2 linked regions of the Drosophila melanogaster genome follow. The gene in region 1 interacts genetically with each later gene. Each region holds a gene or a part of one and is shown in the gene's direction. Other genes may lie near its edges.

Region 1 (7,357 bases):
GATTTGCGATTTGAACGAAGTTCTATTTCGACCCGAGCAGCTATTCTACACGCACTTACATCGCAACTCCACGTACAAGGAGCTCTTCAGACTTCGGTAAGCCCTTATGCTACTCTTCCAAAAGCAAGTATAACTAAATTTTATGCTATTCAAAAACATCTTAAATGTATTAAAATCGTATGTATTATTTTAGATTCCTTAGGATCCTGGAAACTGGTGTCTACCGGAAGCAGCGCAGCTACTGGGTGCACATGAAGCTGCACTGCGTGGCCCAGAACTTCGTCATCACCGTGGGAATGGAGTACGTGGCTCCTCTGCTCCTCATGCTGATCTGCGCCGACATCCTGGTCGTGGTAATCCTGCTGGTGGAACTGGCCTGGAAGCGCTTTTTCACGCGTCATCTCACCTTTCACCCGTAGTGCTTTAAAATCGCTTTAAGCTGCTGTAACAACTATATTCTATTTGCACCCAGGAGAAAATAAAAACACTTTGCGTTAACTTTTCGCATCGCAAAATTATGCAGGGCGACGCTTTCCTCACTTCCTGTTTTCGCGCCGGAAAATTGCAGCACGGCTCGTTAAACGGAGGGATGGATAAAGGGGTTTGCAAAGGACGTGGTGGCCATGTTTCCATGCGATTTTCGTATTTGCATTAAAAACTTTTCGTGTTTGGCGGTTACTTTTTATACTCCATTTTCCCTTTTGGCAATGATTTTATTCATTCTCTTGGAGCCATTTTATTTGCATTTTCGTGCACGGCCACATTCGAATTGAAACTTTGTTCCCCAATGCCACGTGCGAATGTTAGATAACTGATTGTGAGCCTAATACGGCCTATTAGAAACAGTTAACAGTTGTGTTTTTCGCATTTCCCCGAATTTCACCGGAATCAGTAGTTTCCCTACCGCAGACATCGCATGTTGCCCCGAGATGATTTATGGTATTTTAATGATGGCGCATCGCCAGAGGCGACAAATATGGGAAGGGACGTGTCAAAGCTTTATCGAAATTGATTGTACAATAAATAAGAGTGAGTTGAGTTCGCACAAATATTATTAAATTGGGTGTAGGAGCAAATAAATGGTATTATATGGCTGCTAATCAAATACGCAGTAAATTATATATTTTTTCAAGATTTTACATTTGCCTAAGTCAAGCAAATAGTATTAAGAACTTCGTTCTTAAATGACTCCCAGTCGACCATTAAAATGCAACTGACACAACTGCTTGCCAAACAGCACTCACTGGCATTCCGGAATTCCCAAAGTATTACTATAACAAATTGCCTTAACAATTTGTCAACTCAATCTGGCTGTCAACAGGGCATCGCTTTGGCCATAGTTTATGCCATGAAAGGACTACTTTCCCTTCGCAGGGAGGACAACTTTGGAGTGACTCGAAATTGACAAGCAATTGTGAATTATTTATTATTTACAACATCGAACACGGGTGTCCCTTTTTATCCCTAGCAGCCTTAACCACTTTATTTTGCAATTTGTCAACAACATGTTCTCTTTTTTAAATGCAATGTATAGCCCTGTGGCAAGTAAAAAGTGTTCCATGCTTTGCGGCTGCGGTGTGAAATTGGTTTTGGCGGTTTCCGTACGTGCTAAATGAGCGCGAAACGGATTTAATTTAAACGGAGCTATTGTGGATGGGAAAACGATACCCGAGAAATTTATTATGACCAAACTCTTGGCCGGTACGATTATTAGACTTAAGTGTACGGGAAAAGATAAAAAGGGGGAAGCGGGCTTATGGCCATCACCTCATCAGTTTGATTACCCTTTCTGTTCCCCAGAGCCTGTCATATACGAATTGCCATTGCCAGTGATATCTTAAGATTTATATGGCCCAATGCTGCGAACGTCTTATCTGTAATTTAATCTGCTGGCCACTTAACGATAATGATAATGTCGATTGCAACTGGTCCGGCTGTAATCTAGGCCCGTATTCGACGAGTCCTCAGTAGATTTTCATTGCTCGAGCGGATTGAGTGGCAGCCGGAAATAATTCGAAAGTGTACGTACGGCTGGTGTTTGGTATTCACTCGGGGGAGTAATGTTTATTGCATTTTACGCCGGATTTATGGCCGTAGAAAGTATCTCAGGGTTCCGTTTCAAATGAAATTGTTATAAAATTAGCCAGCATTTCCAGTTGAACGGGTAAATGTGATTTGCATAGCCGAACCGTTTGTCATCGAGTTAAATGACCTCCGTTTGGTTTACTGTGTAACTTTAAAAAAAAAAAAACAAGTGAATTTATCGATACTACTTTTTAAAATCTTTCTACTAGAAAACAGGTGTTTTTGAGCTTAGGAGCACTTTTCGGATTACGCATACGCCACGTGCGCCCGTTGAAAAACAATAAACTTAGAGGGAACGACCATTAGAGCTTACTTGATATTGGGCAGCACAAATTAAAGCTAACAGCGCTATCCGCAATTAAACTGCCTAACTTAAAGTTAAGCGTAATTAAAATAGCTATGACTTATTCAATAACAGGTGCTAATTACGAAAGCTAACACAAACACGAAGTTTGAAATACCCTCCAAAATACAGTTGCTAACTTGATCGTTTTCAATACATTAATCAAGAGCTAGCACATGCGTTCAAAAGTATTGGAAAATCTTTAAGAACCCTTCGTAGTGACACAATATCTTCATAATCTAATCTATACCAGTTCGACTATCGGATTGCTTGGGATCTTTGAATGCCAAAGACCGCTAGCCGATAAGCATTTCCCACCATAAAGAATCACAAGGTTCGCAGATTTTCCCCCATCGAGAAATTCGAACATCTTATCGCTATCTTCGCACTCTTGAGAAGAAGGGGTATTCTAAACCCAATGCGAATGCACTTGCCAACTCGAAAAACGTGACGTTCGCTGACCGACCTCAACTCCCCCGCTTTTGCCGCTCGAATCAAATCGAATCAAATCGAATTGAATTGAATTAAATGATACTATATATGTAATCTGTAATGTGTGCTACCTGCTAGCGATCTACGTACGATCAACCTGCTGATCGGCACTTTGGCACTTGCTGCATCTTTTAATTGTTTTAGTTTTTATGCTGCCGCTGGCAACTCGCGTGATACCTCATACTTGGGCTCCCAGCCGCTTGGCTCCATTGTAGTCGCCGCTTGTTATTGGTTCTCGTTCCGTTGGGAGGGTTCGCACAGGTTCAGTCACTCACCGATCGCCTCGAAGCGCGAATCGTCGTCGCCGTCGTATCCAACAGTTCTCGGAACCTTAGAACTACCAAGCCGAAAAATAGTGGCAAGATGTACGGTTGTACTTTATAGTGAACAAGAGCAGTTGAAGAACCCATTAGTGCTATGAAAAGTTATAAAGTGCAATAGAAAGTTAACTCTATGTAAACATTTTTACATTTGTTGTAAATTCAACCTTTTACATATTATATTACATAAAATGCGAAATTAAATATCAAAGGCTTAAAATTTCTTATGGAAAAAAAATTATTTTATCTATTAATTTACTGATTAAAAAGTTATATTTGAAAACGAAAATCCCTTTAAGCACTCTATGCTTCAGAATTTTTTTTTCAAGATATATGCAAGATCTAGCATTCTCAATTTACCAGTGATATTTCGAAATAAATTTTGAGTATCGGGTATCATATTTTTTGATAGCAAGCAAAAGTAACTGGATAGGAAAGTGCACTGCGAATTGGGTCAACAACTTCATAACTGCGCAAATGGATCAAGTGAATCTCTTGAATGAGTCAGTGGCCAACGAAGTGCAGGACGGCTAAAAAGCATTTGCCTGGTCTCTGAATTAATTAAATTAGTTAATTTGTTATAATTATTTTACAGTTAGCGTGCCTTTTCTTTGTTGGCTAACAGGGCTCGTGCTAACTGTTGATTACATTATTTGAATTGGTTTGGCTTGTTGCAAGGTTAACTTAAATGATCTGGATAATTAAAAGCTGCCAGTCAAGGGCGCTAATGAGAATTGGGAATATATGCATTGAACGGTCTAGATTATATTATCCCATCTGTTGTCCCCATTTCCTCTTCGATCTATTATCAGTCACAAGTTCTGTCGGATGTAAACAAATCAATTCATCTGCACTTTGCACCACCGAAAACATTGCCAAAAAACTGTGATATATATACGTACATCTATATATCCGGTAAAATCGCACATATGTAGTTTATTTCCCGCTACAGCTGAATGTTATCTAAAATCTTATTTATTTAAAACCTCCAAACATTGCAAATTAGCTAGTTATATAGCATAGTTAAATGCCTGAGAAATGTGTAAAGTAATAGTAATAGGCTACTTTATTACAAATTCAAATAGTAAAATAGGAAATACGTGTGCACCTCCCGTGAAAATATCCCGCAAGGCACTTAGCTATATAAATATGAGTCTTTTAACCCGTCAAACCCTGAGTCTGAACTAAACAGCTGTCTTTTCCTACCTTCAACACAATTTGTATATTTTTAAGCATTTATTGCACGTACTTTCCATATATTTTAGCGACTTCCCCTAGTGACCATATTATGTCAAGTTCAAGACTGCTTACGCACATGCTCGGCTTGGGAAATTAAACAATTTATTTAAATTCGACTCGAGCAGTAGTATTTGCTCAGCTTAGAAGAGTGAATAGCAGTTTCTTTTAAGAGTATAAATAGCTCATAGCTGGGAAAGAGAATTCAATTAATAGTTGGCCCATTCAAAGTAAATTAAGTAAGGTGATCATGAACTAAGGGTACGGCGCTGATTTGTTTCTTGGAACAAATAAATGTTGAACTAAAGCTACTAAAAGAAACTGTTATTATAAAAACGTGATATTGATTTCGTTGCCGTTTTGAAGTCTTAAAACCACCTTCGTTCACGCTTGACCAATTAAACAATTTGCGTAAATGCTAAAGCTTTTAAAAAGAGCAACATTAATTTTTTTAGAGACAAATAAGTTGTTGATTTCTTAGGAGAAACTAGATGAGTTTAGATTAGAGATAGTAAATGGTAAAAAAAGTTATGAAGTGAATCAAATAAATTTGTTGGATTTGCACTAAAAATATTAAACAAAAGGGTTTTTTAATTTTTGTTTAGCCGGCTCAATATGACGGCAACCAAGCAGCAAGAGGCTGAGGCCGAACATGATCCCCAAGTGGTGGTCACCCCTGGAGACGCCTCTCGCAGCTCTCGCCAAGATCGGGGTCTATGGCGGGATCTTACTTCCTACTGGATCCTCGGTCTGTGCAACAACTACGGATACGTGGTGATGCTGAGTGCTGCGCACGATATTATCAAGCAGTTTAATCCGGTAATTACAATAGGATTATAGCACTTTTAATACATTTATTAATTGTTCGCCTGCATAATTTTTTCTTTTTAGAATGATGAATCGGAAGAAAGCTCGTCGGGAAGAAACTGTCACTTGGTTTCAACAGGTGCCATCTTGCTGGCAGACGTGCTGCCCTCATTATTTGTCAAGATTCTAATGCCATTCTTTCCATTTTGGGTGAAGTGAGTACTATCTACAATATTAAATAAATTTGATTTGATGCATTAAACTTGATATGATACTAACACAAAATCGCATTTTATTTATTAGTTTCCGTATAGCTCTTGCCGTGGCCTTTTCTGCAGCTGGTTTCCTCCTGGTTGGATTCGCCAATGCCGAATGGATGGCTCTTTTGGGTGTCATCATCACTTCGGCTAGCAGCGGAATAGGAGAAACCACTTTCTTGGCCTATTCTTCGCGATACAATAAGTGAGTTGTCTGGTAAAAGTACTAAACAAAATATCATTAATTCCATATGTTTTTCTTAGGAATGTGATCTCCACTTGGTCGTCCGGAACTGGTGGCGCTGGAGTTATCGGATCCTTGAGCTATGCTAGCTTGAGATCCTTAGACTTCAGTCCCAGAGATACTATGCTGATTATGCTGATCTTCCCTGCGATCGAGGCCTTTGCATTCTGGTTGCTGCTTCGTCGTCCACAAGTTGATATATTGCCGGTTACCACGGTTGAGTCCACGGAAGTCCTGATCAGCGATGAGAAGCCATTAGTTGGGTTCAAGGAAAAGCTCTTCTATATCAAGCACCTCTTCAAATATATGTTGCCCCTTTGCCTGGTTTACTTCTTCGAATACTTCATCAATCAAGGATTGGTAATTTAGCTTTCTTTAATTCATACAAAAAAACATTCATTGTCATCCATTTTTCAGTTCGAACTGGTTTACTTTGAAGATATATTCCTGGACAAGGACTCGCAGTACCGCTGGCTAAATGTGGACTATCAGATCGGAGTCTTTATCTCGCGCTCCTCTGTCAATCTCTTCCAGCTGGACAAGATCTGGCTGATGTCCATCTTCCAGTTCGTCAACGTGGTATACTTCCTCACCGAGGTTATCTGGTGGTACACGCCTAGCATCTGGATCGTGTTCGCCATCGTCCTGTGGGAGGGACTTCTGGGCGGCGGTGCTTACGTGAACACCTTCTATCGGATGTCCAAGGAGATTTCGCCGGAGCGCCAGCAGTTCGCCATGGCCATGGTGGTACAGTCGGACTCCTATGGCATTGCTCTGGCCGGATTTCTGGCCATTCCCGTGCACAACGCCATCTGTGGTCTTCCGGCCGCGGCCAGAAGCCTTGTTTGGTGATACGGATCGAGGATCAGAATCAGGATCAGATTATGCCTTTACTGTGTGCGTGTTTAGCCAAATAAGCGTGTGTGTCTGTGCATGTCCCTATAGTATTAATCACTGGATCACTGGACATCCGGTAACCAGATAGATCGTTGTATAGTTAGTATGCTGCTGTTAGACTACTCTATAAGTTTAGTTTAATAAAAAAAAAAAATAAACACTACACTGTACATTCGATTTCATTTAATTTCAACGTACCCAGATGCAAGCACTTTTCCGAAAATGTTTTCCTTGGCAAAGTTTGGCTTTTTCGGCACAAAGTGCTCACGGCTAACCACTTTGATAAGCACACTGATCCCAGACAGAATGCGCCCCACTTGCTCTGAGTTTATTCAACTGTCTCCAACAAAAAGCCTCTTAAATTGTACGTATTTACACTACCTACACATTATAATTACTTAGATGGAGCTGCTCGGTTATTAAATAAACTTGTTGCTTGTGGCTTCTAATTCGGTTTGATCGGTTTCAAATCGAACGCCAAACGATCGGTTTGGCAGTGAGATGCCGGCTGAGACAGATTGGGAGATCGAGACCCAAACCGATTTGGGGCGAGATGTTACGTGGACCGCTCGCCGTTTCAGTTGATCGGTAGCTGCCGTGCAAGGCAGTCGAATATTACGCGATTGTCTAATACGTAAGTTGAGTAACCAAGATGCGGGGCTTATCAGCGTTTCTG
Region 2 (4,806 bases), on another chromosome or scaffold:
ATGACATTGTGTTAGAGAAATAATATATCTCTTTATTCAACCAGTACTTACAGATTTCGACTAGCACATTGACCAAGCTCTGCAGGATCGTGTCCGAGTAGTTGGTGGTGATCAGCAGGAAAGGAACAACGGCCACGTCCAGCGGCTTCTTCGGTGCGAATCCCTCCCTAAGCATCTCACGAAAGGCTGCCCTAAGGTGCTGTTCGTGGCACGAGGTCATATAATCGAGGATGCCCGCCTCCGAATCCAGGTGGCAGCGGTAGTCATCGACGAATCGCTTGATGCCGCACTGTAGAATCTGCATGATGATCTTGTAAGGGAAACAGCCGCCCAATCTCGCCACAATCCAGTCGAAGGTCATGGGAAACCGGTGAAAGGCATTGAGCATGATCTCCACGCAGGCCTCCTCCTCCGGTTGGGTTAACTTTCGGAAACAACTATTTATAAGGGTCATCAGCCCGTGCATGGCGCTGCACTCCAGCCAATAGTTGCAGCTGGCCGTGATGGTCATCCGCCGCTGGGTGTACTTATCGGACAGCTTGGCCACTAGTTCCAGACTCCAGTTGGCGATGAGCGGCGACCAGGCGGGCGGTCCCTTCCACACCAGACTCTGCAGCGCGGTCTTTACCAGATTGAAAGCCTCGTATTCCGGAGCACGTTGCTGCTGCTGGCGATTCCCGGCCAGCTTCACCTGGGATACCGGCATACCGGTCTTTGGGTCGGCCATCTCCGGCGACACATACAGCTGCACACTGATTTCGGCCAGCAGGGCGAAGTATTCGAACACAATGTCTCGCGTGGCGGGCAGCTCCTCCAGGAATCCCAGTCTGCAAATATCCATGGAATTATTTACTACGGGCATCATTATTAACCACCGCGGTTGCTACTCACGCGAGCTTGATGAGATTGGGGCTGGTCAGCAGCTGCGGACAACTGTGCCCATTGCTCACCGTCTCTATGAAGTGCTTAAGCTGATCCAACAGGTTCTGGCGCAGCATTTTGTCGTCCTAGGCATCGGGAACGCAGCACCGAAGTTGGCCAAGTGAGCAAATGCATCGCAGCAGCGGGTCGCTGCGTCTTTCACTCGGAATACCAAAACGACGGGGCACAACTGCAGGCATTTGGAATCCGCCGCCACCTGGCCACACTAAGGCGGCAGAAAATTCGAAATTCTTTAATATCTGAAAATCATAAAATTAACAGAATAATAAATATCTTAGCACTCTAACGTGTCATTACATTCATTATAAACTAGCACCTGAGATTAGTTTAAGATGACACTTTACATTCAAGTTAAATTAAGCTGGAAAAGATTTCTAATCGGAATTATGTGTTTACTACAATGCTAACTTTCGAATCGAGGATGTAATTACTGAGTAATCAAACTGTTTGCTCTTTTTAATACTAAGTAAACGTACTTATAGCTCTATTTTCTAATTTTATAATATTTAACGTGTTTTTGTTTTAAAATATTATCGTAACAGTAGGGAGTGCGAAAAACGGTAACACCAAAACCCAGTTCGTGCATTATTGCACACTCTTTTGGGGCGAATCAAGAGCGAAAGACAACATGGCGTCGAAGCGGCGAATCTGTCTCGCAGTTTGTCGTGCTGTTTGCTTTTTTCTGCTCTGATTTGTACAAATATTCATTCAAGGTGCTCCAGTTTTGCCAAGTATATGTTAATAGAGTACCATAACAATGGTGGCGTCACAGGGGTGCTAGAGTTCGATATCGATAACAGCTCACATTCTCGTCATATGCAACTATCGCTGTACTCTCTGGCCGAGTATCGATACGCAGATATTATCGTCGTGGTCAGACCAACGCTCTAGCGTCGGTCCGCGGAAAATAGCGAAAATTACAATTATCCGGGAAGATATATTGGTCGAAAACTAACTCGTGATCCCCCAATAAATATGCGCAAGAGAAAATTGTATATAAACTGATCGAATGCAGCCAGCGTGCTAAGCACTAAAAGCGAAAAACGCCAGAAACAGAAACAAGGAATTGCAGCGTGAGTGTATAACTTTTTGGTTTTTGCCCCCGCGCTCTTTCTCTCTCTTTGCTGCTCTCTCTCTCCCGCTCTCTTTTGCCCTCTTGCGGCTTCTGTGTTGTCTGCGTGCTAGTGTGTGTGTGTTTGAATTTTACTGTGAATGTGACCGACGGTGTGTTCTCACGTACTCCGTGGATGATTTGCGGCCTTGCCAGGGAATCGGACTATATATCCCGGCAATAGCCCATATTGGATCCCGATTTTGAATACAACTCGGCTGATTTGCTTCTTTCAGTGTCTCCCCTTTTATCGCACTTTATGCAACAACGCATACCGTCGTGTTGAATTTCCTCGCTCTCCGCTGTGTGTGGTTTGTAGGTGTGCGTGTGTTCGAGGTGAGTTAGCCGTCGTCTGTTTTTCTTTTCCCTGCGTTTTGTGTGCGTTTCAATGAAATGCAAAATCGCCAGCGAATATCGCGGAAATGCGCTGCTCCTAAATATTATGTATACATAAATAAAGTATCGAATCAAAACAAAATCGGCTTGCAACAACAACAAAAACATTGCAGAGTGTGGGTGGCGCGTGTAGCGATCAAAATTGCGTGCATGTGTAATGTGTGTGGTGGAGAGACGGCATTTTTCTTTACCACACGCCTCTTCTTCTTTCCCACAATACACTGCAATTTTTGCGATTCTGTTTTGCGCCTGCCATTCGCAATAATTTTATTGAATGAACCGCAAAAGAGACGGCCCAAAAAGCGATGTACTTGCCAGACGTTGTGTCTGTGTGCGTCCAAGTGTCTGTAGCGCGTTGTGTGTGTATCGCGTATGAAAATACATCAACTGTTGGGCATCAACAAAAAAACGGAATCAAAAATTTATAATAAAAAATGAAAGGAAATTAGCTGACTTTGTAATCGCAATCGGAGAGTGTTTACTTGCTAAATTTTCGAGTTCTCCGCCCGTCTCTTTCCCTTCATCCCTCCTGCCTTCACCGCCAATACCACCCCAAAAAATTGCATACATGCACACACGCCTTCGGTTGTGCGAGTGGTTTAGTGTGTGAGCGCGCGCGTATTCTGCACACATTGTCATGCATGCAAAAAACAAGATACGACGCGTTCGCAATCGTTAGATTCCGTCTCCCCCAATTCATGGCGTTTCATTGCTGGGGGCGAAAGTAAGAAGATAACGAAAGGGATATGCGAACCACTTCCTAATGAAGTCCTGCATCCTTAGCTTTTGGATTCCCACCTCTTCGCCTTCTCCTTCTTCACACGGACACTTGCAGCGTTCGCGCCCATGCGTGTGTATGTGTGCGAAGAACAGGAAGAGAGCAGCGAGACTCCAATTATCCATTTACAGTTGCGGTTGAAATGATGGAGCATAGTTGTATTATTTGTATTCACACAATTACCGGTGGTATTTAAAGTCTTAACAATATTTATTAATTTCCTGCTACCTTCCTAAATTTTATTCATAGTTTTAATACTGTACCCAAGTACCTTAAGTTCCCTAATCAGATGTAAACTTGTTGATAGGCATAATTCCTATCTTAGTTTGTATTTTTGTCTACTATAACCTAAACTTAATTCTACTACGAATTTAATTACAACATACTAAGACTGTAATCTACAAACCAAACGAAAATGCCTTGAATAAAAGAGGTCTAGTGATTCATAATACGATTTGCACACGTGTTATTAACTAGGTAGTAGCGAAATAGAGTCAAAAAGGCCACCGACTTGTTCACAACTGTATCTCTTACTAACTTCCCTATAAAAACTAATTGTTGCTGGGGCGAAAAAATACTGCCAAGTTGTCATATTTGCCGGACTTTATTGATGACTCGACTCCAGAGCTCTATATTTCGCACACAGATTTTCTCTCGGCACTTTTCGCAACCTTCTGCGGCCGCTGGTTATTAATAAAAATTAATAATAAACGAAATCTGTGGCGCTGTGCGGCACTTGGACACACTTATGTACACATGAGCATTCTCGTGTTTTTCGCAGCTGATTGCGTAAACGAAACCGCTCGCTACGTTTGTTTTGAATTGCTACTTTTGTTTTGGTACCGATTCAGACTTGGAATCCGATTCAGTTACAGATTGAGATTGAGATTGAGATACTCAGGCTCTCCGCCTGGGCTTCAATTCTCCTGCGGGCGTTATCAGTGGCCTATGGCGCTTTATTGGAATTACCATGGAAGTGGGAACTTAATCGCTGTGCAAATCGCTTCGAAACAGCGCAGCACGCATTTTCCCCGACGTCTTGCAACCTTGGGCGAGTGGCACTGCGGGCGGTGGGTGGTGAGCGGTTGGGTGATCTAGAGTGACGTAAATATTTGTGGTGGACAGTCAACATTGAGGTGGCGCTCTTCAACGATGACGTAGCTTTTGCCACTTCTGTTTACTCGCACATTATTTCACACACTTCTCCATTGATTTTCGCCGTGCAGATAACGAAATAGTGGACTGATTGTTAACTGTGTATAAATGAAAATATGGGTATGATATGTGTTTATTTACACTTTTTTTCTGTGTACGAGAATGGTTAGATTACTCCCCTTCCTCGTTTTGAGTCACCCGCTCTCTGGCCCTCGCCGCTGTTTGTTTTCTTCGCGCGCGTGTTTGCTCTCGCCGTGGGGCGAAAGCGCAGCGATAATAGTGGCTCAGATATAGTGTATACTATATGTATAGTAAACCTACTCATACCGAAAACCCCATCGCACAGATACGGATACATTTACAGATACACGCGCGCACTGCGGAAGGCCTAGATCTAATGGAAAACGCTAAATGTTTGTAAACA

What was found. Genes that interact genetically often act in the same process or in processes that back each other up.
Region 2: of Cln3 (region 1) and flfl, changing one suppresses a phenotype caused by changing the other (phenotypic suppression), as found in Drosophila melanogaster (one study listed by BioGRID).

Annotation. Positions count from the first base shown.
Region 1 is NT_037436.4:17,808,724-17,816,080, reverse strand, and holds Cln3 (Cln3), read left to right. Parts: upstream 1-1,961; 5' UTR 1,962-2,021; intron 2,022-3,189; exon of another isoform or gene 3,190-3,285; intron 3,286-5,081; 5' UTR 5,082-5,091; coding exon 5,092-5,295; intron 5,296-5,367; coding exon 5,368-5,498; intron 5,499-5,586; coding exon 5,587-5,745; intron 5,746-5,804; coding exon 5,805-6,144; intron 6,145-6,201; coding exon 6,202-6,636; 3' UTR 6,637-6,850; downstream 6,851-7,357. Other genes in the region: Ir75a (ionotropic receptor 75a), read left to right, coding at 1-96, 194-419; CG32191 (uncharacterized protein), read left to right, coding at 7,334-7,357.
Region 2 is NT_033777.3:13,682,136-13,686,941, forward strand, and holds the start of flfl (falafel), read left to right. Parts: upstream 1-1,785; 5' UTR 1,786-2,015; intron 2,016-2,289; 5' UTR 2,290-2,389; intron 2,390-4,806. Other genes in the region: omd (oocyte maintenance defects), read right to left, coding at 52-827, 892-998. UniProt on the Drosophila melanogaster protein: Regulatory subunit of serine/threonine-protein phosphatase 4. The probable PP4 complex Pp4-19C-PPP4R2r-flfl (PPP4C-PPP4R2-PPP4R3) is required to prevent caspase induced cell death (in vitro). May be involved in DNA damage repair.